Drosophila melanogaster: one gene and its partners. The protein of the gene in region 4 purifies or fractionates together with the protein of the main gene of each other region. This does not show direct contact. Each region holds a gene or a part of one and is shown on either strand. Other genes may lie near its edges.

Evidence for each region.
Region 1: the proteins of Rpt3 (region 4) and CG11885 purify together in Drosophila melanogaster (affinity purification with mass spectrometry, with the first as the bait; one large-scale study listed by BioGRID). This does not show direct contact.
Region 2: the proteins of Rpt3 (region 4) and Prosalpha6 purify together in Drosophila melanogaster (affinity purification with mass spectrometry, with the first as the bait; one large-scale study listed by BioGRID). This does not show direct contact.
Region 3: the proteins of Rpt3 (region 4) and Rpn9 purify together in Drosophila melanogaster (affinity purification with mass spectrometry, with the first as the bait; one large-scale study listed by BioGRID). This does not show direct contact.

The regions. Positions count from the first base shown.
Region 1 is NT_033779.5:416,183-423,266, reverse strand, and holds CG11885 (uncharacterized protein), read left to right. Parts: upstream 1-1,816; 5' UTR 1,817-1,900; coding exon 1,901-2,326; 3' UTR 2,327-2,372; downstream 2,373-7,084. Other genes in the region: CG13692 (uncharacterized protein), read right to left, coding at 832-1,024, 1,079-1,467; RpLP1 (ribosomal protein LP1), read right to left, coding at 2,709-2,975, 3,121-3,192; CG13690 (uncharacterized protein), read left to right, coding at 3,667-4,710; ebi, read right to left, coding at 5,633-6,478, 6,557-7,084.
Region 2 is NT_033779.5:10,216,317-10,224,473, forward strand, and holds Prosalpha6 (proteasome alpha6 subunit), read left to right. Parts: upstream 1-5,034; 5' UTR 5,035-5,126; coding exon 5,127-5,129; intron 5,130-5,197; coding exon 5,198-5,827; intron 5,828-5,885; coding exon 5,886-6,092; 3' UTR 6,093-6,230; downstream 6,231-8,157. Other genes in the region: Npc1a (Niemann-Pick type C-1a), read right to left, coding at 1-134, 194-484, 545-864, 1,025-1,217, 1,284-1,502, 1,567-1,643, 1,700-1,856, 1,916-2,086 and 1 more; Bcs1 chaperone, read left to right, coding at 6,830-8,125. UniProt on the Drosophila melanogaster protein: The proteasome is a multicatalytic proteinase complex which is characterized by its ability to cleave peptides with Arg, Phe, Tyr, Leu, and Glu adjacent to the leaving group at neutral or slightly basic pH.
Region 3 is NT_033777.3:23,728,782-23,737,637, reverse strand, and holds Rpn9 (regulatory particle non-ATPase 9), read left to right. Parts: upstream 1-4,175; 5' UTR 4,176-4,386; intron 4,387-4,626; exon of another isoform or gene 4,627-4,727; 5' UTR 4,728-4,732; coding exon 4,733-4,842; intron 4,843-4,897; coding exon 4,898-5,011; intron 5,012-5,064; coding exon 5,065-5,595; intron 5,596-5,656; coding exon 5,657-6,050; 3' UTR 6,051-6,263; downstream 6,264-8,856. Other genes in the region: CG10365 (uncharacterized protein), read right to left, coding at 6,408-6,844, 6,911-6,989, 7,666-7,701, 8,479-8,781.
Region 4 is NC_004354.4:11,120,904-11,129,434, forward strand, and holds Rpt3 (regulatory particle triple-A ATPase 3), read left to right. Parts: upstream 1-4,197; 5' UTR 4,198-4,409; coding exon 4,410-4,445; intron 4,446-4,519; coding exon 4,520-4,603; intron 4,604-4,661; coding exon 4,662-5,783; 3' UTR 5,784-5,882; downstream 5,883-8,531. Other genes in the region: CG11122 (uncharacterized protein), read right to left, coding at 1-2,695; SrpRalpha (signal recognition particle receptor alpha), read right to left, coding at 6,072-7,160, 7,248-7,886, 7,955-8,071.

The DNA of each region.
Region 1 (7,084 bases), on a different chromosome or scaffold from region 4:
TTCAGTATATTGTGTATCTGTGTCCGATTCAAGTGTTTGAATTCCTCGGCTGAGTTCCTTTTTTCGGGCTCTTCTGCTGCGCTTCGATCACTGGAATTTTAAAACCGGATGCGTGTCATTCCTCTGCCCCTCCAAGCCCGAAAATCCAGGGGCATCAGGAATGCGGCTGCTGCTTCCTGCGGTTCATCTCCCTCCTCCGCTCCTCTGGACTCCTCTGGGTTCGAATCTGGTCTTAGTTCTTGGCTCGTCTCCATGCCATCTAATTTTTCTATGCCCATAATTTGTACTTCCCGCCTACCTCTTTTGCACGGGACCTAATTTGTAGATTCCTCCGCTGCTGCGGTTGCTGGTATCGACTGACTGGCCTCTAGCAGGTATAGGTGTATACTCGCCATATGGAAAGGGTCTTCCGGTATAGTTTGAATTGGTTAGGTTCGGGGTACGAGGCGATTACCATGGATACCTGGTCGGCCAAAACATTAATTACTTTGCAGTGCGCCTGTTCCGGTCCCTGGGGAGTCACCCTGTTGGGACACCCTGACTATACCTCTCTGTAAATCTACCTAAATTTTTAATGTTAATTTGAGCTTAATATAACCAACTTGTTTCTTGGTTTGTCTTCCGGGATGCATCTGCATCTCCTCTGCTTTCTGCTTTTTGGGAAGTTTAGGTCTTAATCTAGATATTAACTTCTATCTGATAGATTAGGCAGTGTTCACGTTTAATTTTATTAACTAAAGCCACATAAAAATGCATCGGAATAGAGTTTAATATTTTCACTGGTGTATCATTAATGTGAGTGACACACTAATTTCTATGATATTTTATTATTTAGGGTCTCTGCAGCCAATCGTAGATGGGGTCTAAGCCCACTTTGGTGACGGCGCTGGCCTCCACGATGGTCACCTGCTGGCGGATCTGTTTTTGCAACTTCTGCATCTGCAGCATGAGCAGAGCCTCGTTTCGCATCTGGCGGTAGGAGTAATCCATTTTGGCCAGTACCAACAGGATCTTAGTATTATGCCTGCGACGAATTTAACTAGTGCATGAGCTTTCAGTTCATTTCCACCTTACTTACTGCAGACGCGGCTCGGTGAGGATTGAATAGAAAAGAACGCCGGCGGCTGAAATCTGACAGAGATTAGAGGTGTCCACGACGTAGATCAGCTTCTTGACATCCTCGAAATACTGCCTCCACAAGGGGGCCATACTCCCTCCAATTTCCAGGATCTGTATGGACTTGGGCAGATTTTTACCGCCATGAGGAATGTTAGCTGGAGCTTCTGAGGGAGGAGGCTTATTTTTATCCCCATTTGGCGATTTTGTTGGGAAATGGATTCGGTAAATCCCAGTGCCAATGGTGGGCATGGAAAACGTGGTCTCATCGATGGATTCCGGATCCTGTAAAGCTTTCAAAAGGTGCGTTTTGCCCGCTCTTTTGGGGCCCAAGCAAATGCAGGTGGACATTTTTGCTTTTACTTGGATTTTATTTATGGATCTAACAAAGGTAGCCTTGGTTACCAAAGTTTATTAATTAATTAATTAAATTAAAATTGTAAAAGTTAGTTCAGTAAGCACGTACATGTTGTTATTTCTGGCTTATTTTATATATAAAATATTTACAAATGGTTGAACATTTAATATCAATCGCGTAATCGAAATCTTGTGTCAGTAGTTCAATTATTTTCTGCATGATGGCGCTCTCAGGAAATCAGTGCAAACGTTTGAACTGCGTGCTTCGGGAGTCACGAAACTCGGAACCATTCGGCCACACTTCATATTAGCACATCAATGCATAATGACTATCGATAAAACATCGATGTATTTTTCATCGTTTTTTCATGCTGTCTCATCGTAAACAATATCAACATTGTTAAACGCTTTTAAATTCTCTCAAAAAATGAACCACACAGCAAACAAACCTCGACAAATCGGATTCGACAGGCAGTTCTCAGCGGACGTGAACGGCGTTCCCACGGAGATAGTGTTCCACTGCTTTGCCAAGAAGTGGTTCTTAGTCATAACGCAGCTCGGCAAGATTCCCGGCATCTACAACGTGCACTTCGATGTCAAAAAGGACGAAAGAGTGGTTCCCTATTTGCACGGACCCGTGGACAATCCGGAGTTCCACGTATCGGTGCCAATCACGATGAACTGCTGCTTGGGCTTGGACACCGACGAGACTCGCAGCGCCATACAGTTTCTGGTCAACAGAACCGGACTCCACAAGTGCCCGACGGAGTTCGTGGTGGGCTTGGGTCTCAAGAAAATCGACGGACCCAATCTTCGTGCCCTAGCTAAGGTCCTCGAGGAGACGTTATTCTAGTCTGCGTTCGTTATATCCAATAAATATTAGCTGTGACAGTTTTTGTAAAAAAAACCTTGAACATTTTAATCGTAGCCTTCAACCCGGCTGACCAAATTATTGGCCATTCTACTGCAACCTCTTTCATGTGCTTAAAAACCCAAAATAGAATCTACTCACAAAAAGGCAGTGGAATGACCAATAACATAGTAAACCATAATAATTCTGCACCGTTGTGAAAGGAATGAGTCTCGATAATTTTTTAGCAAACGTCTTCTATATTTCCTCACATTTGTACATTAAAAACGTGTACGCAGGTCGGGAAACGGGTACACGTCCACCTCTCGAGGATTACAGCACAAACACAACGGATGTCCGGTTGTCGAGAAGTTCTCTAGAGGATTTAGTCGAACAGACCGAAGCCCATGTCGTCGTCAGACTGGTCGGACTCCTCCTCCTTCTTCTTCTCCTCCTTCTTGGACTCGGCGGCTGGAGCAGCGGCGGCGGCAGCAGGGGCAGCACCACCGGCGGGAGCGGCACCAACTCCGGATCCGATGTTGGTGATCAGGTCCTTGACGTTGATGCCCTCCAGGGCCTTGGCGAAGAGACCGGGCCAGTAGGGCTCCACCTCGACGTTGGCGGCCTTCAGGATGGTGTTGATCTTCTCACCCTGGTGAATCCAAAAAATAAGATCAGCACAAGTTGCAGCAGTGCGAAAGAAACCATAGGACCCGCAAATTGTCCAATACTTCCGGCCGATGGCCGCGGCTTTGGAGGATTTGCTTCGTCCCCGATTGCAATATCGAAAAACTTACGGTGACGGCGACATCGTCATCGACGAGGATGAGGGAGGCGTAGACGCAGGCGAGCTCGGCTTTGGTGGACATGTCGAAGTGCTGTGGCTAATCACTGATTGTGCAAGTTGCCAAAAATTAATTGTTTATAACAAATGGCCTTAGCTCGGGACGAGAACAAGCACGCTGGTCAAAATCCTAAACCGGAAAGAGCAGTTGATATGCAGTGTGACCGCGCCGATGACGAAGAAAAATACCAACCGTCTATGAAAATTTGCATATTATTGTCAGGAAATACTAGGTAGAGGAAAACTCGTTCAAACTGCCGAGATTATCTCTTATTTAAACTAGTTTATTTTTAAGCATCTTGGACAGAAGCCTTAGCATAATTCTCTGGTTATATGTTTATCTCTCTATTTTAATAAAAGACCTTTCCGTACGGTTATTGAGAATATTAAAAAAAAGATATTTTGGTATAATGACGAATGAGTCACACTGCAACTTTATGTATACAATTAGTGTGCCCATAGCGTCGTTTAAACGTAAACAAAAAAAAAGCGCGCGAAAATGTCGGACCAAGAAGACGTAGTTGTAAAAAAAGAAAAAAAATGTATAGAAAATATTGATGAGAACGACGAAGAGCCCGATGATGTAGATTTTAAGGACAGCGGAAAAATAAGCTCCTTGAAGGCCCTGGGTCCATTTATAGCCGGCAAGGAGAATAGCCGCAACACGGTTTACCTCAGCGATGTTCCGGATATTTGCAAGGATAAGCCGTGCATGCTGGGCGTGGACGAAGCAGGGCGTGGTCCCGTCCTGGGACCTATGGTATATGGGATCTCCTACTGTCCACTGGAAAGTAACAAGGCTTTAGAGGACCTGGGATGCGCCGATTCCAAACAACTAACCGAGGGGAAACGTGATATCATATTTAACGATATCAACACCAAGGAATATGCGACCAGTTGCGTTGGCTGGGCCGTGGAGATCATATCGCCGAACACGATCAGCACCAGCATGTACCGGCGGTCGAAGTGCTCCCTGAACGAAGTTTCCATGGACTCGGCCATGGGCCTTATCCAACAGGCGATCGATGCGGGCGTCAATATAGCCGAGGTTTATGTGGATACGGTGGGTCCGCCGGAGAAGTACCAGGAGAAGTTGCTCAAACGTTTCCCCAGCTTTAAAATCACCGTGGCGAAAAAAGCTGACTCCACCTATCCAATAGTCTCTGCTGCTAGTATATGCGCCAAAGTTACCCGTGATCATGCCCTCAAGGTGTGGAGCTTCCCCGAGGGCTTGGTCATTAAGGACAACGAGTTCGGCAGTGGATATCCGGGAGATCCGGTCACAAGAAGATTTCTGACCGAGTACATCGATCTAGTGTTTGGATTTCCACGACTTGTGCGCTTCAGTTGGTCCACCGCGGAAAACGCACTGGCGGACAAGGCCTATGACATGGAGTTCGACGAGCCGGATTCCGAGAAGCCCAAGTACGCCGGCACCAAGCTCACAAAGTTCTTTAAGGGCACAACAAAATCCGGCGAAATAATTCGCGAGGAGTGCCGCTTCTTTAAGCAACGCCATCTGGAAAGTGTCATGGAGTTTTAGCAACAAATGAAAATAAAATTAAGTTCAGGAGTATCTATATTTACAAAGAATAAAGTTTAATTTAAGTACTTTAGTATTAAATTTTAAAATGCTAAAATACAAAAAACACCCAGGCCCAAAACGAAAACAGATTAATTTTTATCTTTAATGTATTTTTGCTGATGTTCTTGTGTTTCCGCCAATCTCGTGTTCTTAATAATTACGTTCGATTACTGACTACGTGGGACTGCAGTTACACTGTTCTGAATGTATGCGTGAATCGGTCTGATCTGATCTCTTGGCATCCCTTTTTTGGAGGACAACTGTGGAATTGGGTAAAGGACTTTTGGTGGGGAGGGCGGGGAGTTGGCTGGCATCTTTGATCGATACAATAACAAAATGCAAAGTTATACTAAACGATTTTCGTATAAAAAGGGACGACCTTAGAAACATGGAGCTTATGATTAAGATTAAAATGAGGCGAGTCGCATCCCGCTGATCTGAAGAGAACAACAACCATGTTGAAGCCCCCAAAAATCCCAGGTGCATATCGATATTTTGTGACTCGAAACTAAGCGTACGAAATAGACGTGGACAAAAGCGGGAGGATCTCATCTCAAGAGGTATACCTTAAAGAACTAATTAGAATTTAAAGCAATTACAAATACGATTGCAGGGCGGGATAGCTAAGAAAGGAGTTACCTAAGGTCCGGACTCCAGATCCAAATCGACTTATGTTGGTAGAATTGTAACTGATCATATTTCACTTCTTTAAAAAATATAGTTAAATGCAATTTTTGAATCAAAAGTAAAAACTTCTCGTTCCGTAAGAAAGTGAAAAACTACCGATTTCATTTTTACCAAATAATGAGCTGGAAAAGGAATCTTGACTATTTTAAGCGTTGGCTCAATACACGAAATCCAGTTGTGGCTGCTCCGGCAATCAGAACTTTCGCAGGTCCAACACGAAAACGCTACCGTCGGAGGCACTGGCACCCACCTTAGTGCCCTTGGAGTTCCAGCACACCTCAAAGATTCCGCCCGTGCCCTTGTAACTGTGCACTAGCTGTCCCGTTTGCGTGCTCCAAATGTGTACGCACTTGTCGAAGCTGCCGGAGGCCAAATGCTTTCCATCCGGACTGAAGGCCACCGAATAGACTGGCTCTGTGTGCTTGGTGAGCGTGTGGATACAGCTGCCCCTCTCCACGTCCCACAGTCTTACCGTGGAATCGAACGAAGCGGATGCGAGGATCAGGTTTGTGTTTGGATTATTGGTTCCCGGCCCCGTGGGCGACCATTTTATCGTATAGATCTCCTTTGAGTGAGCCTGCAGATCGTGGCAGCAACGATCTCGGTTCATGCTCCAGATCTTGAGGGTCATGTCATCAGAGCAGGACGCCAGCAGTTGGCCCTGCGGACACCACTTGATTGCATTCACCTCGTTTGTGTGTCCTTTAAAGGTCTTGATGGGTTCATTTACACCCAACCGGCACACATGTATCCGCTGATCCGTACTGCAAGAGGCAAAGGCCTGGTTTGTCTGCCAGTCCACATCCAAGGCTGGAGCACTGTGAAAGGCAAATTGCTGGGTGCATTGGCCCGTGGATGCGTCCCAGATGATCGTCGTCTTGTCCACGCCAGCCGAGAGGATGTAGTTGCCGCACTTGTTCCACTTCAGAGCAAAGATCGGACCCTTGTGTTGTCCCAAAGTAGAAGCAAGTCGACCGTCGGTTTTCCAAATTCGGGCGTAACCATCGTAGCTGCCGGTGGCGAGCAAGGAACCATCGCACTGCAAAAACGAGAATAGATTAAGTAAGGATCAGAAATCAAACTTTGCAAGGCTTAAGTGCCAAGATCTTCGACTTACATTCCAGTCCAGAGAGGTGACGTCCTTGTTGCTAGGCACCTCAGCGCCGCCTTTCTGGATGCAGTGGCGCAGCACCAACTGGTTGGAGTTAGTGTTTGCATCGGACATGTCCCATATCCTAGCAGTGCTGTCTCCCGAACCGCTTGCCAGTAAATCCCGGCTAGGATTCCATGCGCAGATAAACACCTCGCTTTCGTGGCCGCGTAATACACGAGCCTTGGATTCGGGTATTTCGATGTTCTCGTCAATGTCCATGGGAACAAGAGCTGCGGGAGTCCCAGCACCTCCGCTGGTAGACGAGGAGATGGTTCCACTGGGAGCAGAGCTTTGAGCATTGGACGAACCAGACTGCACGTTGTTTCCTTGGGCTCCTACGCGAATCGTAACCGCTCCACTTGGCGCCTTTGATCCTGTTGCAGTCGAAGCTCCGCCCGATGCTGCTGCGTCCGGATTGGAGGTTGATACAGTTCCACCAGCGGGCGTCAGCCCGCTTGTAGGTTGTTCTACGCTGCTGGAAGTGCTGCTATT
Region 2 (8,157 bases), on a different chromosome or scaffold from region 4:
GTGCTGCCAGTCAGTTGGTCTCCAGGTGGCAGGAATCCTCCAAGTGCTATGGCTGGATCTACGGGACCGCCATAAGGAGCTAGGCATAAATAGGGATTGCTAATGCAATCGTATAAGGCATCCAAATAGGTAACCTATGAATAAAACCGAATTCGAACCTGATAGCAAATCTATTGAAGTATATTTGACTTACATTGAATCCATTGTCCTCGTCGTGGTCATCCAATCTTTCTCGATCATCGCCAAAGTATCCCCAAATCGATTGGACAACGCACTGGGACACATCGATTTCACTGCCATCATCCGACAAAGGCGCGTAGCATATATCCTTCAGCTGTGTGCCATTTGCGTTAATTTCCTTGATGCCCTCCTGCAGATCCAACACTTTTGTTAGAAATTCTCTGTCGAAGACGGGACCGAAGGTGTATGGGCCGTTCGAGGTGTTGTGCACAATCTGTGGCAAGTTCACAGCTTTGATGATTATCTACAAGATAGATAAAGATTACGATTATGCAAAAAAAACCATTATATCTCAAAAGCTTACCTGTTCCAGCCTATAGAATGGCGAAAACTTCGTATCGAAAAACTCTCTCTCCAGTCTGGATTTTGAGTTCGGCGAAGCCCAAAGTTTAACCGGATCCGTTGTGATTTCTATAAAGTTGATGCCATACCCCAGTATAACAACCAGGGATGCTCCGGCAATTAAAGTCAAGCCAGGATTGCTAGCAAAGTACGTTCCCCATTTGGTGAAGAATGTTTCCAGGAAAGTTTCTGTGTGGGCGCCAAGTTTTTCAAAGTATGAATCATTCTCGCTGTAGGGCATTTCATCGGAAACATCATTGCCATCCACTTGAAAGTTGTCATCTGAAATAGGGAAATTCATTATATTTCAAGCTACTAAAATGGTCATTCATTCATTCATTCATGAGTTTTGCAAATTATTCACACAGAAAGTGTAATTTGAAGTACACTTAACATTCAGATATGAAACTAGTGACGAATAATTTAACTGCGTAAAACTCACCCATGGACGAACCTTGTGTAAACAGAAACGAGCCCATTAAGAATACTAAGACTCCCACCAAGAAGACAGCTGCCATGATGACGAAATAGGCGTCGAGTCCAACAATTTTGAAGGGCTCTGGACGGGGCGGTTCCGGCGGTCCCTGGGGACAGGATAGGTCGCAGTCCGAGCAGGAGCACGCAGGTAGTTTGCTCTACAAGCAATTTATATATTTAGCACAAAATGAAATGAATTTCCAATAAGGATAGTAGGTACATACGCTAACTGCTTGGTTGCAAGGAACGGTCGTTACATTGAGGGGCGTAAAGTTATTGCTATTTGATTTGGGCTCATGTTGAATATAGGTAATTTGAAAAGGAACATATGGATTGGTGGCATCGCCCATAAAGTTGAACCATTTTGTAGGATTGCAGCGAGATGCTGAGTAAGCGCCGCACATTAAATCAAAAGCTAATTGACCCGTTTGCGGTACAGAAACCTATTTGAACACAAACAATAATTATTTTCGATCAATGAATAATGTATATGGAATCCAGAAGTACCTGAGAGCACGATTTATAAGTCTTGTTGATGTATTCCGTTGATATATGCAAGTCAACAGAACTTATGTACTCATCACCTGAAATTCGGAATATATAATTATTCAATAATTAATAAGCTATTAATAATGATTACCTTTCTTATTTTTCTGCGTGGCCACCACATGCATGAACTCAGCCTGCTTTGGTGAACAGGTGAATTGGCAGATGTGCCGCACCAAGTTCTCCATGCAGGATGGACATCGATCCAAGATATTTCCGGCCAGCTCCACATTCTTATTAAGGAGCTCCACCTGCAAAGGCATTTGTTTGATAATTATGACGCCTGGGCAAAGCTAATGCTACTCATAACCTGATTCTTATCGCAGCAAAATTTGTTTTCGCTATTCTCCAGCAGAAATCCACAGCGTTTCTTCAGCAGCTCCAGACCGTCAGTTGCCATTTCCTTCGCTGTTCCATTGTACGGACAGTTTTGGCTGTGCGAAAAGTCATTGGTGTTGCACACGCCATACCAAACGCAGTCCTTAAAAAGTTGCAAAATAAGTTAATAACATTATAGAGCAGAGATATGTAGAGTGAGCTAAGCTAAGTTGAAGTCTGGTTTTTAGCTATCTTTTTGCTGACCCCAAATACCTTTTTCAAATTTAAATATTACTTCCAAAACTAAGTACGTCATCTCACCGCCACCCAGAGCTATAAAAATATATATTTTTTCTAATTGCCTTGCATCTGTTTTAGCTCATTCATTGTTGAGGTGAAACAACAGCTTTTCCAATACAATTTACCAGTCCATTTTCAGAAATGATTTTACGACGACTAATCTGCGCGATTAAAAACCCAGTATGCTTAATATTGATAAAATATTGAAATTTAATGATAAAAACCAAATGTTAGTTTACCTGTTTCGATGATTGAATTAGCGTAAAGAGCACAGCAGCGATGAGGATGTGTACTCCAAATGGAGATATCCTGAGCGGGGATCTTGGACTCATTCTATCACAATCGCATATCTGTAAAGAACGTTTTTGGTTAAAGTATGCACCTGGGCTTACTATTATGTATGATATTCGAAGTAAGAGTCTCGGTTTTCGACTAAGAACTGAATCAAATGTAATCCGAGCCTGGCAAATTCAACGTTTTCGCTTACACAAATAAAGTACACTTCATGCAAATTTGCGTTTAGCCAGATGAAACCGTTTTCCAACGAATTAAATAAACATTTATTCCAGCAAACCAAATATATATATACAAAATATACAACGAAGTGAGTTTTGGAACACTTGCAACTCGCAATTGCGATATCTGGCGATTAAATTGTTGTTTAGACTCTGCAGATGCGCTGCAATTCGATAAGCAGTATTCCTAATAATAGAACTGCCTCCTAAGGAAAGAATAACAATAAAACTGATTCATTGCCACGCTTCAATATCCATTCAGTTTCAGTCAATATATATTGCTGAATGGTGTAATCAAATACTCGAAATTATAATGTAATCAAAACAGTGCACATTATATGGTTGGGTGGTTTAGAATTTCGGATAATCCCTCCACTCATTAAAATAATATATACCGATATGAAAACCAAATATACCAAAATAAAAGATTGCGTTTGTTTCGAATTTGTTTAACTTTTATTTGCCAAAATGTTTTGTATTTACAAAGAAAAATGTTAGTAAAATTTTCAAAAATACCACATGTTTTGTTAGGCATGAATATGAATTAATAAAATATTATTCAAAATTTCTAAGAATGCTAAAATTAATAGCGGAATTTTGACAAAACGATGGTTAAACTTTTAATAAATTAATATTTATAAATCTTTATGACTTTGTGTCATAAAAATCAAACTAGAATATGTATTAAAATAAATTTAAGATAAATCTAAACAATTGCATTCGTATTTAAAAAAAAAGATGAATGATTTTACTATCTTGTATACTGAAAATATTCTATAAAAAATGCATGACAAAAAGAATTGAAATAGTTTTCGAAATCGTACACCTATGATTTGTGTGCTAATTGACACAAAATGCGTTTTAATATCCAAAAAACTCGTGATCCATTAAGAGCAGTTCAAGAATTGTGACCCAATGGTCAATATAGAGTGAATCCACGAACACTGAGACCATTTGATACCGACTAGCTAGGTTAACAAGGTAGCTGGGCATGGAGCTACATACATAAGTCGGGTTTGGTCTTTGACATTGATACGTTAAATTTCGCGCTAAAACGCATTGTCGTTAACTGGCTTTCGTTATATGTATCTACAATACTAAACGACTACTGAGAAAGTGATGATGCAACTAGTTGTCTGATTTTATGGAGGGGGAAATTCCATTATGCTCGCTCGCTACGTACTATGTACAACTTCTTGGGAAATCGACACAACCGCTTCGATTGCCTTTTTTCCCTTCGCCACATGCAAATTTGGCTGGTGGTCAGTCGCATTTGGTAAATGGCATCGGGAATGGGATATGATCAGCGGATTGAAATATTCTGTGCTGGTCCATTCACGATGTTTTATTTATATATTTATTTTGCGCTATTTGGATATGTAGCTAAGCGGATGTCACGGAATAAAGCAATCTTGTAGCGAAGATATGGGAATACGGACAGCGAACAGTAGCCGCATTGAAGGGCACGCAATATAAGTATACTATCACTTTCACAGAAATCGTTAATTGTAAACATTAGTAATGCGCCGAACCAATAAAAATGTTTTCTTTGTTCGTGCACATACGTATATAGGGATATTATGAGGTGTACATATGTATGTAGCGGTTTGTGTGTATGTGTGTGTGCAATGAAGTCACCTTAGTTAATTCCTTCAGTTAATTAAATTACACGGCTTTATGATTAAGGTGCGCACGAAAATCTTTCTTTCTACTAATCTTAACAATGCAATTTTGATGCTAACACTTTCGAGTGGAGGTATATATATAGGCGAGCATATACCCTCGACAAACAATCCGATTACGGAGCTACAAACCCTCGGTCCCAAAACAGGAGAGAGTGAAAACTAACTGAAATATACAATTAAAACGTAAACACTCCCACTGACAGCTTATCAGACTTAATGGCAAAACAATCGATTGTAGTCGATATGCAGTGATTCCGAATGCAAGTTGGGAACAAGCGAATGGAACAAGAAATTCATTTAATTTTTTAAGTATGCAGTTAATAAATTAAACTAAATATAACTTAATTGTTAGTTAAGTCCCGATAAGCCGTTATAGTTTAAAATTGTATTACTCACATGGTATGCTGTAATTGTTGGTCAATTAAACGTGTGTAGTCAGGTATAATGTGGTGCTGGAATTAATTTAACTACGATTAACAAGGTGCTCATACAAGTTTACTGATTATAATTAATATCATTATCCCCTTAAATTTGTATGCATATCCTACAATGTTCTATTGCATCGTTCCAAAAATGATAGCATGCCCGAATCCCTTATCGATACCCGATACACAGTTTGTTTGTGTCTCCCGGCGTGCCATAACTAACTATCGGGCATTTCTACTTGTCATCATTGAGCTCAGCGGCTTGCATTTCAAAAGTCATGGTAAAGTGTTTATTGCGAATAATGGTGTGCTAACTGCATTTGTTACAAACTCACATCTTTGCTTTCAGTTTCGCAACCAGTACGATAGCGATGTTACTGTGTGGAGTCCGCAGGGACGTCTCCACCAGGTGGAGTACGCAATGGAGGCCGTGAAACTTGGCACCGCAACCGTGGGCCTGAAAAATAAAGATTACGCTGTACTTGTCGCCCTGTGTAAGCCGACATCGGAGCTATCGGATACCCAGCGCAAGATCATCCCAATCGACGATCACCTGGGCATTTCCATTGCTGGCCTCACGGCTGATGCCCGCGTCCTTAGCCGGTACTTGCGCTCCGAGTGCCTGAACTACAAGCACTCGTACGATACAACCTATCCAGTCTCGCGTCTGATCACTAACCTGGGCAACAAGATGCAGACGACCACTCAGCGCTACGATCGCCGTCCGTATGGAGTGGGCCTTTTGGTCGCCGGCTACGATGAGAGGGGTCCGCACATCTATCAGGTCACGCCATCGGCGACCTTTTTCAATTGCAAGGCCAATTCGATCGGATCGCGTTCACAGAGTGCACGCACCTATCTGGAGAAGAATTTGAACAAGTTCTTGGACAGTTCCAAAGATGAAATCATCCGTCACGGAATTCGCGCTATACTCGGTACCCTGCCTACGGATGAGCAAGGCAAAGATGCCGGTCAGTATGTAAGTTCATTGCACATTTCCCGTCGCGAATAGTTAGTAAATTGTGTTTTTCTTGCAGGACATCACTGTGGCCATCGTCGGCAAAGACCAGCCATTCACAATTCTCTCTAATAAAGACAGCGCCAAGCATGTGGCGATTGCCAAAGAGAATGACAATGATACGCCCAGGAACGACGATGACGATGATCGCCCATCCCCCCCAGAGGAACCAGCAGCCGGACCACGCGACCCAGAAGTCCTGGTTGCAACCGAGCAGCGTCCATAGGCATTTATAGGGCTATGAAAGCATCTTAACCATTAAAAATGTAAGATTCAAGGATACAATAAAATTGTTCATGCATTTGCATAGATCCTAAAACGGAACAAACTGAATAAATGAATACAAAAAATCAATGTTATGGGTAAAATTTTTTGATTTTAATTTTAAACCTTCATTTATTATTTATTTATAGTATTTATTAAATATTGGTTTTTCGATATAAGTTTTCCCAACTTATTTGCATTTTTCCGATTTCACAGTTCGGTCACACTGTTGGATTAAAAATATTTATCAATGCCGGTATTGAAACATTTCTACTATAAAAAAATGTTGATTGCTTTTAGTGAATGACAAGTTATCCTCTAAGATGGTTTTTATGCCAAATAAAATGTGCCACTTCAGCGGCAACTTGTATATTTATTTGCTCACACCTAAATTACAATTAATTACATAACGAGAGTGATGGCAAATGGTTGATTTAAATAATAAAATTACATGGTTTTCTCATGAGAAAATAAAATTGTTGGTGCCTTTGCTGAAGCGCACGTAAACAGTATATGTTAGACTTCAGTTTTATTTGTTTAAAAAGTTGCTTCGAAAAGATGTACCATTGTTTACAGGAGGAACCCATGTTTTGGATGATAGATTAAGCAACAGGTGTTGTTTTATAGGGTTTTATTGCCGAAAAAGAGTAAAACACTTTAATTAAACGTTGATCCTTGTTCTCGGTTTTTGCAGACAAGATGACTTTGCCCGATCTTGTAGCTGGACTTTCGTCAAATCCCTACTTTGGTGCCGGTTTTGGACTATTTGGTGTGGGCGCCGCTGCTGCCATATTGCGCAAGGGCCTCCAGGGCGGAGTGATACTGTTCCGGCGGCACTGCATGATTACCCTGGAGGTGCCGTGTCGGGACAAATCCTATCAGTGGCTGTTAAAATGGATTACGATCAGAGGAGCGCGAAAAACGCAACACTTGAGCGTGGAGACAAACTTTGTGCAGAACGACAATGGCACAATCAAAACCAGCTATGACTTCATACCCAGCATAGGCAAGCATCTGTTCCAGTACAAGGGCAATTGGATTCAGGTGGAGCGGACCAGGGAACAACAGACATTGGACCTTCACATGGGTGTTCCTTGGGAGACAGTGACGCTTACAGCGTTTGGTAACAATAAAGGTATATATTTCGATATCCTCGAAGAGGCTAGGCAGCTGGCTCTGGAGGCCACAGAGGGCAAAACCGTGCTGTACACAGCGATGGGTGCGGAATGGAGACCCTTCGGACATCCGCGCAGAAGGCGTCCCACTGGATCGGTGGTGCTGGATCGCGGAACTTCGCAGCGAATCATTGCCGACTGCCAGGACTTCATTAAGAGCTCTCTGTGGTATACGCAACGTGGAATCCCCTACCGAAGAGGCTACCTTCTGTACGGGCCACCTGGTTGTGGCAAGTCTAGCTTTATAACCGCCCTGGCGGGCGAACTGGAGTACAGTGTCTGCCTGCTAAACCTATCCGAAAGAGGCCTCACCGATGATCGACTCAATCATCTCCTGAATGTTGCGCCAGAGCAGAGTATCATTCTGCTGGAGGACATCGACGCAGCATTCGTCTCGCGCGAAGCTACTCCGCAGCAGAAATCCGCCTTTGACGGTCTCAACAGGATAACGTTCAGTGGACTCCTAAATTGCTTGGACGGTGTGGGCTCCACGGAGGCCAGAATTGTCTTCATGACAACAAACTACATTGACCGCCTCGATCCCGCCTTAGTTCGTCCTGGTAGAATCGATTTAAAGGAATACATTGGCTATTGTACGCAATATCAGTTGGAGGAGATGTTCAAGAACTTCTTCGCCAGCAGTGACACCACAAAAGCCGAGGAGTTCGGAAAACGAGTGAATTCCTTTGGACGCTCCGCTAGTCCGGCGCAAATTCAAGGCTTTTTCATGAAGCACAAACTGTCCTCGCCGCAAACTGTTATTGATTCTTGTGAAGATATCTGGGAAAATGTTTTAGATCATAATAAAAAGATTAATTGAATTGTTGTGGATTTTGTTTACTTGAAGCTCTT
Region 3 (8,856 bases), on a different chromosome or scaffold from region 4:
GTGCGCAGTGCATTGGCGACATAAGCTCGATACGAACAGCATGTGACATAGACAACTTGGCAGCGCGAGCTGCAGTTGCATCCGCCCCGAACTTGGCCTGCTGGTAACTTGGTTATGCCACAAAACCAATAATACGTAAAGGCAACGGATTTTTCTTGCGTTACGCTTTGTTTCCAATGGATCCGATCGCATTGGCTGATGTTGGTAGCGGTTGCGTCGTCTGGCACACGTTGCCATTAAAAGTCATCAGCATTCAAGGCGGTCAACTACGATTTCGGAGTGCCAATTGCTTGGGGTTCGGCGAGTTTTTACGTGCCGAACGAAACGGGTTGCGTGGGGAGCCAAAGACTCAACTTCAATTGCATGCAATTGGGGAAGAGAGAAAGAAGCTGGCCAAAATGGCAGTGGCAGTTGCAACGGTTTTCTGACTGCCACTTCTGAACCCTGAACATGAAAATGTTGACAGGTTTTTCTTCTTTGGCGACCTCATTTTACAACAACATCACAGAAGTCCAGAGATAAAATGAAAAGTTGTGGCCCCTGTCAGTTTTGATCGAAGAGTTATGCAAAAAACCCAGCATGGCTTCATCTTGCTCTTCGAAAACGTGTCTTTACTTTTTACTCAATAACCATAAACTTGAGCTGAGTTTCGTTATGATGCAATCTCTCTAATTAATGGGTATTTAAGCGTTTGGAGATAGATCTCTTTAAGATTGTTGCAAGCCAATTAGAAGTAGGAAATCGATTTGTTTTAGTTGGTTAAGAAGTCGTTTTTTTTTTTTTTTGCCAAACTTTTGCCAAAAACTTAATTGGCTAGTCGGCCCAAACGCATGCTGGTGTGCCTCAGTTTTCTTTAGCTTCGGTTGCTGCAACATCTTTGCCTTGTTTGCATCTTTTTCGGGCTCTAATGCGGGCCTAATAAACATAAACTTTGATATGTTTATGCCAGAAGTGCGTGCTGGTTTCGTGAGATGCTGGTTTGTTTGTATTTGCATGCGGTCGGTTGGCTTTTGTTTGCATTTGCGTTTTGTGCTTGAGCCGGAGATATTTGCATTTCAAAGTGAGTCCACAGACGAGACTGGGTGATTTGGGGGGCCAAATTGGGGTACAGACTAATTCGAGCCGATTGAACATCGATTTTATAGCCCCATTTTTTCGTTACGACCATCCGCAACAAAGGGTTCGCATCTGGCCTTCGATGGAAGTTGGCCTAAAGCAGCGGAAATGTATAGCCATCAATGCAATGTGTGGATGGCGATGGCTTGGCTTTGCAATACCGCTTGAAGGTGATCGGAAAAGAGGCAACGACGATTTCCAAAGTCATGCTCTCAATACTAGAAATCAATGGGGGTGCAGAGATATGAAATACCTCAAATATACGCAGACTACACTCGGCAAAAATAAAGTATCTTTTAGATATATAAAAGTATATATAAATATATTCCATGTTCTTTTTTTTTTTTTTGATTTTTACTTTTTTTCTTATATTTCTTGGCTTAAAACCCTAATATTATTTGGATTTTTTTCTGAGTAAAAGCTTTAGAAAACCGTTTGTGCGGGTTTACTCATCGCTCGGCGATTTACAATCGCAATTTGCCACAAATAACAACAATTATGCTTGCCATGATGACGATGATGATGAAATTGCAGGCTGAAAATCGCGCACGCGTTTTGCATGCGACTTGGCGCGCGTTTAGCTAATCGCGCAATCTTTGGACGGGCGGACAGACTCACGTACGCAGGTGGCGGCGGCACATGACCAATTTCTGTTGCCAACACGAAGAGCAGGAGGTGCAGATAGGCCAATACAGGCGGCGTAAAAGAGATGCCGCACATACAGGCGCGCCGAGCGAACTGCGCATGCGTGCGGTTTAAAACGCGTGCAAGTCGCGCGCTTTTGCAGGTGGCGGAGAAAGTTACCAGCACTGAAACCACTTTTTTTTTCGGTCCGTCGCTGCCTGACTATTGTTGCTGCGGCTGCCCAAACTACATCGGTTTACATATATATACATATAATATATACACATACTTCTGGTTAAAAAAAAAAAGTAAAGAAAAGAAACGAGAGAGTAAAATGCCAGTCCATTAAGCCAAAAAAGAAGCGCGGCCAGCGTTAAATGAAAATAAATTTGTTTAAAAAACCAAATCAAAGTTGGGCAAAGCCAAAGTCGCACGGCGGTGAGAGCAAGAGTTATGAAATCGCCGCCAATGGAATCCCAAGTTGAATTGGTATCAATGAATTCACAGTGTGGGTCAAGAAAATATGAGCAATATTTGCTTTAATAGTATAAAAAAAAATAACTAAAGGCTAGATTCTTTTCCGAAATTGTGGAAATATAGATACTTCATCATATTTAATCCATCATAGAATTAGCTACTAAAAACATAAAAGATTGTATTAAGTCATTAAATGGATCTTATTTGTGCACCTCTTGAATGACGCATGAATGAGCTGCCTTGCAGGGTGATCTATCTATTTAACTATTGACATTGACGAGAAGACTGCAGTTGCTATAATTTCGATCGCGGCTGCCTGCCCAAGAGCTTGGCACAAAAATCGAATATGAACATGCGAGAAACCAAGCCGAACCCAACTCTTTCGCAACTCGGGGCAACTGGATTGGCCTGTAATTGAATAATATTACTACTTGGCTGCAGCAGCAACAAAAAGTGAGCAACAAAATACAAAAAAAAAAAAAAAAAACAAGGAAGCGGCAATGCACTTGACAAAGCTGCTTCACTTGTTGCAGCAGTTTTATGGTTTATGTTTTTTCTACATCTTTTTCTTTTGCTTTTGTTTGGTTTTTGTGGCCACTGCATCGGCGGCGACTGTGTGGCATTTTTCACTTTTGCTTTTAATAGCCAGATGCTGTTGCTGTCTGTCGTCTGGGACGGAGATGAAGATGAAGTCGTCATCCGACGGCGTTTTTTTTTTCGGAATTTGTTTTGGATTTTTGAAATTGCCGCTCTTCACATAACCGTAATACGCCTTCAGCCGGTTTTCATATATACCATACATATCCATATATATATATATTATAGTTGTGCATCGTTTCTGTCGCTGCCAGATGTCGCCCATTTCGATTTTGGTAAATTGGTAAAGTGGGGAACAGGCCAAGGAAATCAACTGCTACATCGAGAAAGTAGTAGTACTTTCTTTCTACCAAAAACGCACAGTGGCGTCAGGAAATGAAAAGAAATGTTGACAGCGCAGCAGGATGTTACAGTAAACTCTGGCCGATTTGGTTCAAGTGTTTTTTTTACTGCGAAGGACGCACAAAATAGGCGACATCTGTGCAATATTACTCAAAAAGAAGGCATTTACATACTGTAAAATGCAGTACAATTCGGTTGATATATTTCGTTTATGTACAAATCCATACAAATGTTGAATCTTCCAATTCAATAGCTTTTTGAGTTCCAAATTCTCTATCAGCTCGAAAGTAATTTAATTATCGTTTCTTTACCCAACGCTCCTGTGCTCAAGTGGCTTTTGCTTTTCAAAGAGAAAGTTGTCCAACACCCATTGCAAGCCAAGAACTTTTAATAGACGGCGGCGACGTGGTGCCCACTGAGTGATAAGATTGGGGAGCCCCAATTGCATAACTGTCTACTAACCAAATAGTGGGATACAATGTACAACCAATTATGCAGTTCTCAATGGAACGCGATCGTATCCAATGGGAACCGCTGGCCCAATCAGTAGGGCCATGCTGCTTGGAATTTCGAAGCCAAAAGGGGGAACCTCGTCGGGCAGAGTAGTGACCCCCAAAAAGTCGAAAATAGAACCCAGAACTAACCTTGCTTTTCGACGAGGAATCGATCGTTTGCTTGGAGATCGGTGACAAATAGTTGACACGCGCCTTAATCCACAAAAGAAATGCTAATGAGGATCTCTTTTGGCGGAGTGCGGTTTCCAGTTGGAGCGGTCGTTGTGGTCGCTAACTAGTTCTTCTCAGTTTGTCAACTTTCTGCGAACAAATCCACATAGTTTCTTGCACGACGCGTTGTTTGGCTTACATTTATATAACCACTAATTGCGGCACTTTCGTTCGCGAAATTCGATTGCTACTTTATTTGGCTAACAAATAGTTAAATGTGCAAAACACACGACAGCTTTACTTTTTTTTAGTTAGTTCAGGGCGCACACTCGAGTTGTTGTATTTGGTTTTGTTGGCAGTGCTGCTGTGGCCCGGTTAAATATCGATATTCTCGCGGATCGGGCTAACTGGCTAATTGGCTGCGCGGCGACTCTCTGCCAAGTGGAATCCTGGAGTGCGGAAATATAAACTGTTTCGCTGCGAGCTCCAAAACGAATTGAAACGTTGTTTCTTCCGCGTACACAACTTCACGCAGAAACAGCTGTTCGGTTAGTGTGACCAGACGGTGAGTACAACGTAAGCCCAAGCCCCGCAGCTGTTGTTATCGAATGAGTCATCGAGTAGTTTCTAGGCACTGAAATAATATCATAAATAATGCTTTCCATGTGATATAAAAATAAAAAATACAGCCATTTGTTATTATGTAAGCCTTTTTTAGTTCATAAATAAATTTTACATAAAAATTCGCCCAAAAATACAAAATACCAAAATAAGCTAAAAAAAAACAAACGGCCACACAAGCGATCTGTCAATGTGACAGCTGCGTCGGCGATTGTGATTTGCAATTTTTGTAGTTTGGGAATACATTAAACATTACATTTGAAATTAATTCAACACAAAGCGCAGTTGCGATGTCCAATCCTCAGCCTAATGTCACCGCCTATCTGGCGACCCAGAAGAAGACCACCAACAAAGAACTCGCCGCCGAATGGACGCTCATCGAGGAGCTCTACAATGAAAAGTTAGATCTGGGCTTTAAATTTCAATTTTCCTCTTGTAATACAATTATTTTACAGACTCTGGAATGAGCTGACCATCAAACTGGTGACCTTTGTGCGCCACGAATCCTTGCAGGACGAAACTGCGCTGCTGCAGCTCTACCAGAATTTCCTGTCCACCTTCGAGACCAAGTGAGTCGGCTTCTGCAAATGACTCGGCAGAATCTAATGTATTGTATTTGCAGAATAAACCCCTATGGCCTCATCCAGATTCTCGAGGTGGTGGTTGACAACATCGGTGACAAGAAGGAGGCCATCGAGTTCTTGGAGAAGATGAAGGACAAGGTGAAGATCTGCGACGAGGCCGTTTGGTATCTGCAGGTGATGCAGGGTAATCTGTACCTCAGCAACCTGAACGATCTGAATGCCACCAAGAAGATCATCGAGGAACTGCGTGATGTCCTAGAGGAAGCGGGTAATGTGACGCCCGTTCACGGCAAATACTACATGCTGGCATCCCAGTATTATCGGCGAGTGGGCAAGCACAGCGATTACTACCGATGTGGCCTACAGTTTCTGGGCTGCTCCATGGATGAGTACCCCCGTGATCAATGGGCCCAGCAGGCATTCTTCTTGGGTCTGGCTGCTCTCTTGGGCGATGGTGTCTACAACATAGGCGAATTGCTGGCTCATCCCATTCTTGAGTCGCTTAAGGGCACGGAAAATGAGTGGCTCATGGAACTTCTTAAAGCCTTCAACACGGGCGATATTAACAAGTGTGTAGTAATAGCAATTTAATATCTGCAGTAACTAACACTTTCTATTATTCCTTTGCAGGTTTAATGACATGAAGAAAATCTGGTCCAAGATTCCCGATTTGGCTGCCCAGGAGGTCAAGTTGCGCCAGAAGATCTCCCTCCTTTGCCTCATGGAGATGACCTTCAAGCGCTCAGCCATCGAGCGAGCCATCTCCTTTACCGACATCGCGCAAGAGACCAAACTGCCCGCCAAGGAAGTGGAACTGCTTATCATGAAGGCTCTGGCTTTGGATCTCGTCCGCGGCGAGATTGACCAAGTGGCTGGAGTGGTTAACATGTCGTGGGTGCAACCACGCGTCCTCAACCGCAGCCAGATTGTCGGCATGGCCAGCACTCTGGACACATGGATGGGCGCCATCACGAACATGGAGAAACTGATGGAGAATCGTGCCGCCGAAATCCTCACCAATTAGTTTTAGTTTCGCCTGATCTAGACGATCCCACATATTCACATTTTGCGCGAATGCTTTTGTATTTAATTAAAAACCCAAATACTGTATTCATTTCTTTTCATATGTAATTTAACTCCCTGACAGTTGCGTGTAAAAAGTTTTTTTGTGCTTAATCCTAGCTTATTGGCTAAATCAGATCACTTATGGAGGAGTTGCTGCTTATGATTAGGCCTAGGATTATTTACAATTTAAAGAAATACGTCAAATTTGGCAATAGACTCTGGTTACCTAACAAGCTAAAATGTCGATCAATAATTTGGAATTTGCTGTAGCAAAAAACGCGACCTGCATAGCACTTGGCCGCCAGCACACCAGAAATCAAATGTTCAGGCAACGCAGCTTGGTGTCGGGCACACGGGAGGTGAACTCGAAGGATGGCGGGCGGCGGATGTCCTCGTGCGAGTCGCGGCGTATCCTATCTGGATTGCGGCCCATCACAGATGACAGAGGTATTTGGCGGCGGTACAGTTCCTCTAAAACCAATTGCTCCAGCTCGAACAGATGATCGTCCCTCACGCCGGGAATCTCCTCGTGCATGAACAGGGCCAGGCGCAACAGGTACTCGGCATTGTGTCCGCTGGGACCGCGGCAGGATACGATCTGCTGGGCAATCTCCTCGACCGGGTCATCGCCCAACCAATAGATATTCTCTGGCGTCGCCACATAGACCAGTACCTCGACCGCCTCGCCGCTGAAGGGCGTGTCCTGCGAGGCGACGCGCGGGAAGAACTTGGTATCGATTGTTGCATAGCCACCTGTTGGAGTCATCGTGGGTTAGCTCAAATGATGGTCCCCACTTCTCTTCAATTCGATTTACTTACCCAGTGTGCACTCCCGCTGCTTGAGATAATCCAGTGCCGTGCTGCCTGTTATTCTGTAGGCGCAGCCCCAAGTGATTCCCTGCAATCAAAAATGGGAAATGTATATTTAATAAAATACACAAAAACATGTGGTTCACATAGATCTAAAAATATTTAATGAGTTCGCCCCGCGCGGGTTTTGAACCCGTATCTTTCGGATTGGGGTGTGCTATTCATATCGCGTTCGGCTGGTTATGATTCCCAACTCGTTTTTCCGCTGATGGCGCGTATAAATAGCGCTGATAGCAGCAAATGTGATGCCGGTTTGAGTCTTCCATGCTTGTCTCTCGGGGCCACAAAACGAGTTCCTGGTAACTCAACTGATAATGCCCTGGGCGAAAGTCCCCGGGCCTAGGATAGAAAGTATCAAGGTGTAAAAAGTGTGCACAAAACACCCACCACCCCTGTGGTGGGTGGTGCATTCGCCTATATTCTGCGGAATTTCGCCTGGCGTATGGATGAAGAGGATTTTATCCGAATCCTTACGCGCCAGGTTGTCTGCGGAAATCTGCCAGAGTAATCTTAGATATGGACGAGTTGGTAGGACTCGGCGGGTGGTGTTCACACACTTTCTCGTCTGAGAAACCGCCTACACAGAATGGGGCTTACATTGGGAAACTCGGACGGCGCACTCCCTTTTTTATACAACGATATCATAACATATATATATATAACCCCCACCCCCCTTGGAATCATGATCTTTATACTTTACTCACCTCTTTGTCCTCAACGAGCGTTGCAACACGTCCAGGCTGTAACAAAGAATAAAAGTACACATTAGCACTGGGCTGTATTTTATACACTTTCGTTTGTGGAGATTGTGTATTCATCGCCTGCACAAAGACTTGGGGGCTAGCTAGCGCGCTTTTTGTTTACCTTCTGTATATGTGCATTATTTACGACATTGCACATGTATATAACTGGGGTTATACATACATATTATGGACCTTGACTTATTTCGAAATTGTTGACATTTGTCGCGATCGCAGGGAAAATAGCCGAATAAGGGATTTCAATTCCTTTATTACTATTTATTTTTATATTACATTTTGCCTTCGTTTTTCGTTTTTACTTGGAAATGCTTAGATTACAAGCTTGCAAAAATAGCATGACCTCAATTGAGCACCAAAAATTATAGTATTAGCACCCCACCCCCCTTAAAGAATACAAAAATATTCCAATTTGGATCCCAAACTGGTTCTCCGAAACGAATTGATATCTATTCGAAAGGGGCTTGTCCTGCCTCGATTAGCAACAATCTGTATCTTAATTGGCAGTCGCTCTAGACGCTGGTAAATGCTAATTTCACTTGTTGTTCACCATTAGCCAAACACAACTGATAACGCGCGACGAATAGATAACGCGTGCCTCCTGATCACTGAAAACTGGCAACTGTTCAAAACAAACAGCGGAGGTAATAAAATAATTACCAGATCACCACCGCTAGTTGTTGGGTAAACACACGAGCAAAACGTCAACAGACGCGGACCAGACGTTTCTAAATCCACGATTTGGTTTATCCCACCTACCTTCTCTTCACAGCCGCGATGTGTGACGTTGCCCTGCCAGAAGCGGCGAACATATCCTCGAATATATCCCGTAATGCACTTGGTGTAATTAAAGCCAGGATGCCAGCACAAGGATCCGTAACCGAAGACCCAGCAGGCGGGATCCGAAGGTCCAGCATTGTTATTGTTACTGGGACGATTCTCCTGCTCGTTCTGGTCATTATTGTTGCTCTCCTCCGCCGCACCCAACTGGCCATTGGTGAAGAGATCCTTGAAATGGGACGGCACCGTCGCCGGCTGGCGATGACCACTGAAGTGAGCCATCTATGGTAACCAGAATTGTGCTCCGAATACGAGTTCTTCACTTTTCTGGGCGTTGTGTTCTGACTGCGGCACCTG
Region 4 (8,531 bases):
CGCTGGGCCTTTGGCGTGGCGAGTTCTTCAACTTGGATGAACTGGACACGCTTTCCTCGCCCTCCGCCTCCGCCTCGCCATCGCCATCTACCTCGGCATCGCCATCGCCATCGCCCGTTCCCTCCTCCACTTCCACCTCCAGCTTTTCCTTCTTGCGGGCGGAGAGCTGCTTGAGCTTCTTGGAGAAGGCTCGTCGCTTCTTGGTGCCGCAGTAGTAGCGATACTTGCGCTTCTTGGCCAGCGACCACACATAGTCGCCGGAGCAGTCCAGCATGTGGCGATAGAGATCCATGAGGCCGCTGCACTTGCGACCGCACTTGGTGCAGCTGGAAGGAGCGGACGAGGTGGACGACACCGTCGTGGTGGCAGCGGAGGAGGTGCAGGTGGAGTTGGACATCGAGGTGCGGGTGGCGGTGGACAGCAGCGTGGAGGCGGATGATGAGCTGGGCGAACAGGACGACGATGAAGACGCATTGCCCGATCCCGAAGCAGGTGATGGTTGTTGCTGCTCCAGTGCCGATAGCGGAGTGGGTGTGGACACCTCGTATGATGAGCGTGACGAGGCCGACGACCTGGTCTCCTCCTCCGGTTGCACCTGCTCCTGCTTGGGCTGCTGCACTGTGGCTGCCGGCGCAATCTGCGGCCATCGGATGCAGTTGCTCGCGGCGGCAAAGCGACCCAGCGCCCGTTTCGGGATGAAGAGGTGGCGCAACAGATTGCCGGCCAGCAGCTCGCGTCCCACGACCTCGTAGTGCGTGGCGTAGATGTGCGAGTGGCGGAAGGTCTTGTGCTCCTCCAGCGACTTGCGCTGGTCGAACTTGGCGCCGCAACAGATGCACAAATAGAGACGCGGCCGTGCCCACTCGCCGCTGAGCACGACGGCCTTTTGGTTCCTGCTACGCTCTCGCTGGTCCCGCTCCCGCTGTCGTTCCTGTTCGCTGCTCCCGCCTCTTGGTTGGAGCTGCAGCAGGGAGAGAAAACTCTCGTCGGCGAACGTTTGCGGCAGCAGATCGTCACCGGGATGCGAGTCCAGGCCCTCGTCCTCCTCCTCGTTTTCGCACTTGATGACCGCCTGTTCGTTCTGCTCGAGAATGATGTGCGGCAGCAGGCGGTGGTCCAGGATGAGATTTAGCTGCTCCAGCAGGCGGCGCTGCTCCTGGTTCTGCTCCTCCGTCAATGAGAGCGAGAGATCGTGCTTTTGCCGCATCGTCAGCTGCGTCCACATGTCCAACTTGGAGAGATCGCGCAGTCCCAGGTAGTTTGGCTGCTTCAGCTTCTTGACCAGCCGTCCGCCCTCGTTGATCAGCGTGAACTTCTTCACGTAGTCCCACTTCCACTTCCAACTGTGCTTCGTGTGCGGTCTCCGGCGGAATTTGGCCAGCGGTAGCAGTTCCCCCGTGCCGCCAAATTGATCCGCGGTCAGTAGAGTGGGATAGGAGGCGCCGCCAGGCCCCAGCTGACTGGGTCCGTGCAGCATAATGAGGTCTGACTTATGGGATGCGGACGACGATGTGGCTGACGTTGTGGACGTCGAAGACGAGGTGAACAGCCGTCCGTCGAGGTGATTCTGGAGGTTGTGCCGTACATTAGAGATCACATCCTTGTAGAACTTGTCATCGAACACTGAGTTGGCGACGGAGGCGGATGATGAGACGCAGGCCATGCTGGCTGGCAGCCGGAAGACTGCATCCGGATTGACAGACTCCTGCAGAGCCATGTTACCCGCTGCAGCAGTCTGCTGATGCGACTGCGACTGTTGATGCTGATGCTGATTCTGTTGCTGTCGCTGCGTCGCCGCCCGACTGCTGCTCCGGGATTTGCTGCTGGGCGTGGCCAGGGGCGGCGGCTCCTCCTCCTTGCGCTGGTTTCGATTCCGATGGCTGGGCAGACGGTTCTGGGTAAGGCCGAGGCGAAAGAGCACCGGCTCGTCGGCGCCCATCAGACCCGGTTTGGTGGCATGGCCATCCTCCGGATGATGAAGCGAATGCTGCTGGCGCTGGTGTCCCAACAGGTGATCTGCGTCCTGGAACCGCAGGCGACACGGCTGGCAGGCGAAATACTTATCTGCATGCTGCTCGCTGAGGTGCTGGAATAGCTGCTCCAAATGCTTGGCCGGCAGGCAGATCTGCGGGGGCGTGGCCTGGCGGCGATTGCCTTGCTGGCCACACCACTGGCAGCCGGGGAAGCCGCCGGCGGGATGAGAATTGGAGCTGGTGGAACGACCGCTGCAGCGTCGTTCCTGCCGCTCGGTGTGAAACTTGTCCACATGCTTGGCCTGCAGCTTGCCGGAGGCGAACTTCCTATCACAGTACAGACACAGGACCTTCGAGTGCGCGGCTCCACCCAGGCCGGCGGCCTCTTCCCGCTCGCGCTCGCGCTCCCTCTCCCGTTCTCGTTCCCGTTCCTCCGTCATCTGATGCAGCTTCTCCACCAAACGGGGCAGCCGCTCCAGCGGCAGGCTGCAGATCAGCGAGAGCGGCTCTTGTTCCGCTTCCAGCTGATCCTCGTGCGGTTCCACCTCTTCCTGTTCCGCGTCCACATCCTCCTCCTGCCGGGTCTGTCGTTTTTTGCGCGGATTAGATGAGGCAGCGGCCGTGGCTGGTGCCGTTGCCGGTCCAATTGGATTCTTGCCGTTGACCTGCTCCTCCGAGAACTTGAAGCCACGGCGCAGGCCGAAGCGCGACATGGTCTTCATGTGGAGGCCACTGGGTCGTCCGTGGTTGCGTTGCACAAGTTAACTGCTTCGCCACTCCTGCAAGCAGTGCGGGGTGTGCGGACAACAATTTACTGCTGCACGCACACTGCTTCGTTCTTCCTTCTTCTTTTTGTTGACAAATAAACCGCAAGAAGAAGCAGCGAAAAACAAAAACTACTCACACACACGTACGCACACACACTCGCACGCACACCTGCTCAATTGGAAATTATACAATAAACATTTTCAACTCCTCGAATTGATCTCGCTCTGTTATCGGACACTATTGTTTTGGCCAACAGCTATATATAGCATAACTACCACTCCACTGCACAAGACCACACTGTCCACTTGGATATCCCGACTTGGTCTCTCCTGCGTATCTAAATACGTTTCGTTTTGTTTCGTTCTATTCGTTTTGTTCTGTGTTTCGGTTCGTTGTATTGCACTGTATTCCGGGATTTCACGGGATTGCTTTCCGTTTTGTTGTTTTGTTTCTTGTTTTTTTCTTGTATATTTTGTTCTTTTCGCTTGGATACGGACCAGACCAGGAGCGCCAACGGATCCGTATCAGTGCCTTGCACTTAAATTTAAGCACGGCATTGCAGCAGCTCGACCACCAGTGTAGCGCATTCAATTTTCCCTGGCCGTTCTTTCCACCCTAACAACTGCGTTAGGAGGTATCTAACGTTTAGCCCAAATCGATGCGTGCGTACGGCGCAGAGGGGGCGGCGGCGCGGCCAGAGGGGGCGGGGCACGGCAGCAGGACAACGACGACAACGACAACGATACTTTGTGGGAAACGTACTCGGAATCGGAATCGGAATCGTACTCGTACCCGTTCTCTTTCCCGTTCTGATGCTAGCGATATTGGGGAAACGATTTTTCGGCGACGGCGGCGGCATTATCAGCCATCGAATTGTGCTATATAAACAGCAAATTCGATTTCACTGTCCTACCAGCGCTCGTGTGTGTATATATTTGGTTCGTTCGCACACGCACACATAGCACACACAGAAGCAGCAGGAGCGACCGAAATGTTAAATGTGTGTGTTTTTCTACTCTTTTTTTTTCTTATGGGAAATCGAAATCGCGTCAAAATGGTCGGGTTTTGCCAGTGTGTACACACTTGTACCCGCTGGCGAGAAAGGTACTCGAACTATCGATAGTTGCGTCTCGAGCAGCGATACTTTGGCATGGTTCTACGTGAATTGCTTAGAATAACTTGCGATTTTATCAATTACTTATAAGCGATCTGCATTCGAAATAGTTTTTGTTAGTAATAAATCTGTTATCAGCTTTTGTTCCAATCAGAGCTGGTATATATCGGGCAATTATCAGACAGCTGATTTTTTCCCATCACCAGATGCTTTGAAACGTATTAAAAAATACTTTCCGGATATTAAGTGAGAAACATGACATGTGATATTAGATTTATTTGTATACAACATTTTAGCTTTACAGACTAACTGGTATAGGATATTGTCCAATAAAGAGGAGTTGCTTTCTTATCAGAAAGAGTATATATCGAAAAAAAAAACCGATTGAAAGAGCAGCACAATTTGATAGATAAATGGCCCCATCGATAGATCACAATCGATTGCGGACAGGGTTGCCACCACAACGCACTGCTGGCTTGTTTTTGACGAGTCATTTTGGTCGCCTCGCAGAAAACGCAAACTAATAAAACGAGACTCATTGCTGAACGAAAAGAATGCCGTACAACATGGACGTACTGATACCGGAAAAGGTGCGTAGTTGCCTCTCTGCGCCGCCTGGCATGCGTACTAATTACCTCTTTCCCAATTCCACTTTTTCCACCAGGACGAGCTCTCCGACTTGAAGCTAAAAGATGCGCACAGTTCCCTGGACGAACTGGACATGGAGGATCTCTACGTGCGTTACAAGGTGAGTCGTCCACTGGTCTTCCATTTGATCACCCATCTAAGCGGCCATTGTGTTGTAGAAACTGCAAAAGACACTGGAGTTCATTGAAGTGCAGGAGGAGTACATCAAGGACGAGCAGCGAAACCTGAAAAAGGAGTATCTGCACGCCCAGGAGGAGGTGAAGCGCATCCAGTCGGTGCCGCTGGTGATTGGCCAGTTCCTGGAGGCCGTCGATCAGAACACGGGCATTGTGGGCTCCACCACCGGCTCCAATTACTATGTGCGCATCCTGTCCACCATCGATCGCGAGCTGCTGAAGCCCTCCGCCTCGGTGGCCCTGCACAAGCACAGCAACGCGCTGGTGGACGTGCTGCCACCAGAGGCGGATAGCTCCATTTCGATGCTGCAGCCGGATGAGAAGCCCGACGTTAGCTATGCGGACATTGGTGGCATGGACATGCAGAAGCAGGAGATCCGCGAGGCAGTCGAACTGCCGCTGACCCACTTCGAGCTGTACAAGCAGATTGGCATCGATCCGCCGCGCGGCGTGCTTATGTACGGTCCGCCCGGTTGCGGCAAGACCATGTTGGCCAAGGCGGTGGCCCATCATACGACGGCGTCGTTCATACGCGTCGTCGGCTCGGAGTTCGTGCAGAAGTACCTCGGCGAGGGACCGCGCATGGTGCGCGACGTTTTCAGGCTGGCCAAGGAGAACGCGCCGGCCATCATCTTCATTGACGAGATCGATGCGATTGCCACGAAGCGTTTCGATGCGCAGACTGGCGCCGATCGCGAGGTGCAGCGCATTCTGCTCGAGCTGCTCAACCAGATGGACGGGTTCGATCAGACCACGAACGTTAAGGTGATCATGGCTACCAACAGGGCGGACACACTCGATCCGGCATTGCTGCGACCTGGTCGATTGGATCGTAAGATTGAGTTCCCGCTGCCCGATCGCCGGCAGAAGCGACTCGTCTTCTCCACCATCACCTCGAAGATGAACCTAAGCGAGGATGTCGATTTGGAGGAGTTTGTGGCGCGGCCGGACAAGATCTCCGGTGCCGATATCAACGCCATTTGCCAAGAGGCGGGCATGCACGCGGTGCGTGAGAATCGCTACATCGTTTTGGCCAAGGACTTCGAGAAGGGCTACAAGAACAATATCAAGAAGGACGAGCAGGAGCACGAGTTCTACAAATAGATTATATTAATTCATACACACTACTCCCGCCCCATTTTTTCCCCCAACACACTAAACTCTTCTTTGTACGCATAAAGTTATAAACATTAATAAAAAAATAAAAAAAAACAAAACAACTTGTAATCGAAGTGCCAAGCGATCCTTAATCCTAAACGAACCAACAGCCAACAGTGGGCAAAGCATTCCATTTACGCAACAACAAACTAGACAAAAGCCATATATTTGATTCGGTGAAAAGAGTGGATGCAAACAAGGAGCATTGGAAGGATAGCCGGATCGACGGCTGGCTTACTTCATCAGGGAATTGACCACGGCGTTCACATTGATGGCCTTTAGGTCGGCATACGTCTGACCCGTGCCCACGAACACAATTGGCTGGCCGGTTATGTAGGTCATGGAGATGGCGGCGCCCACCTTGTCATCGATGGTATCGAACTTGGTCAACACTATGCCGTCGATGATGTGCGGGTTCTCGTTGGATGAGTAGTCGGCCAGCGACTGATTGAACTTGACCAGCTGGTCGACGGCTTCGTTGCCCACCAGTGCCTCGCCCACGAATAGCACCAGATCCGGATTGTTCACTTTGATTAGCTTGGACAGGGAACGCATCAGCGGCTCGTTATCCTGCATGCGTCCGGCGGTGTCCACAAGCACCACATCCACTCGCGTATCGTGGGCAAACTTGATGGCCTCCATGGCAATGCCGGCGGCATCCTTGCCGTAACCCTTCTCGTACAACTGCACCATGTTGCGTCCATCGTGCTTGGCCGCCGGATGCAGTGCGTTCAGATGGCGTGTGTGTGTGCGCAACTGCTCGACGGCACCGGCTCGGAACGTATCGCAGGCGGCGATCAGAACGTTGAAATCGTTCTCGATCAGCCAAAAGCAGATCTTGGCCAAATTGGTGGACTTGCCGACACCATTGACACCGCAGAAGATTATCGTGTACGGGCGGCCGTTGCGCTTCGATTCGAGGGCATCGCGTATGATGTCGATGCGCCGTTTGGGCGATAGTATCCTCACCAGCGATTCCGTGAGCGCCTCCTTCACCTGGCTGGCGATGCTGTCGAATGTGCCCATTTGCTTGCCATCCAAACTGGCGGCCACCGAGTCGCACAGCTTAGCTGCTATCTCAGAGGCCACGTTCTTCGATATCAGATGGTCGCGCATCTTCTCCAGCGCCGGCTGCAAATCTGCCAGCGACATGGTCTTGGCGCCTACAATGCCCTTGAAGTAGGATAGCAGGCCACCGCGCTTGCCCTTCTTTGACTGCACCTGCTCCTCGGCCTCCCCCTCAGAGGATGCATCCTCGTTGTCAGCCTCGTCCTCGCTCTCCACATCCAAGTCGCGGATGACGCCCTGCATTGTGCCCACCAGCTGCGAGTATGAAAAATGATAATAATGAGTTCGTGATTTCACTTTGAATGCGAGTCGCGTTCGGGGAAAGTGAAAGTTAGTACTCACCTCGCTGTTGATGTTCTGGTACTGCACATCATCGGGCGAATCCCTGGAGCGATCGAGCAGAGCGGCATCCTTGGAATTACCGCCCAGATCCCAGACGCGTGGCTTCTTGCCGGCCTTCTCGGGCTTGCTGGACTTGGAATCACTGGGCGAGGTCTTCTTGGTGGGCGTGAGCTTTTCGCGCAGCTTGCGCCGTTTCTCCATGATGATCTTGTCCATTGGGGAGCCCGTCGGTGGCGACGACGGCTGTGATTTGGATGGTGGCGGGGCCTCCTGGATGTTCACCCGCTTCTCCACCGGCTTCTTGTCGTCCTGTATCATCGAGGCGACGGTCTTTTTCGATTTCTGTGACTCGTTGTAGGAGCGCATGGTTTTAGGTGCTTTCACTTGCTTGGCGGACGCCTCCTCCGCGGCGCTGAGCACGCGTCGATATTCGCGATCGAAGTCGTAGTCATCGCCCAGACGTATGTCGCCGTACTTTTCCTTGAAGGCCGCCTGCATGTCGGCCAGGAATCCATCTAGGTAGTTCAGTTTGATCACCTTCTGGAAAATGGCCGCATAGACCAGGTCCAGTTCGTTGTCCAGCTTAAACTGCACGGCCAGGTGGTCCTCCTCGTAGTACTTGGCCTCTGTGTTGCGCTCCTGCAGCCGCACAAAAGCACATTAGTGTCCATTGGTGCATTCACAACCAAATCCGTGCATGCACTTACCTCCAGAATGACGCCACGTATCAGGCTGTTGATGCAGGAGGCGAAACTGTTACCGGACGCGTTCGAGTGCCACAGCACCACTCCGCCCTTGGTGAATATCACCACAAAGTCCAACATTTTAGCTACGCTTCCGATCCGTCGTCACTTTCAACAACAACGCACTCTACTCGCATTGCATTTGCATCAAATCAAAAGTTGCCACACGTTCCACGTCACTTGCCTAGCGATGGCAGCGCGCTCGATAGCTACGCGCGTTATCGATATCGAAAGCTGTCACTTTTGAAAGCCGAAAAACCGTTAAATACAAATAGTTCAATTTGAAAAAAAAAAAAACAATAAGCAATATTAATTTCACTAGAAGTCTATTATTCATATGAAATGCAAATACAGTAGTTCCAAGCTAACTTATACATTTCAAATGTAGGGCAGCAGTTAGAGGATTCCCTGTTTTTATGATTAAAAACTAGTTCCCATTCGAAAATAAATGAAGAGTCCTTTGTTTTTGCTTTACACATCTTTAATGTTAAATTTAGTTGTGTATGTTCACGTTTCATTACAATATAATTTATTATTTATA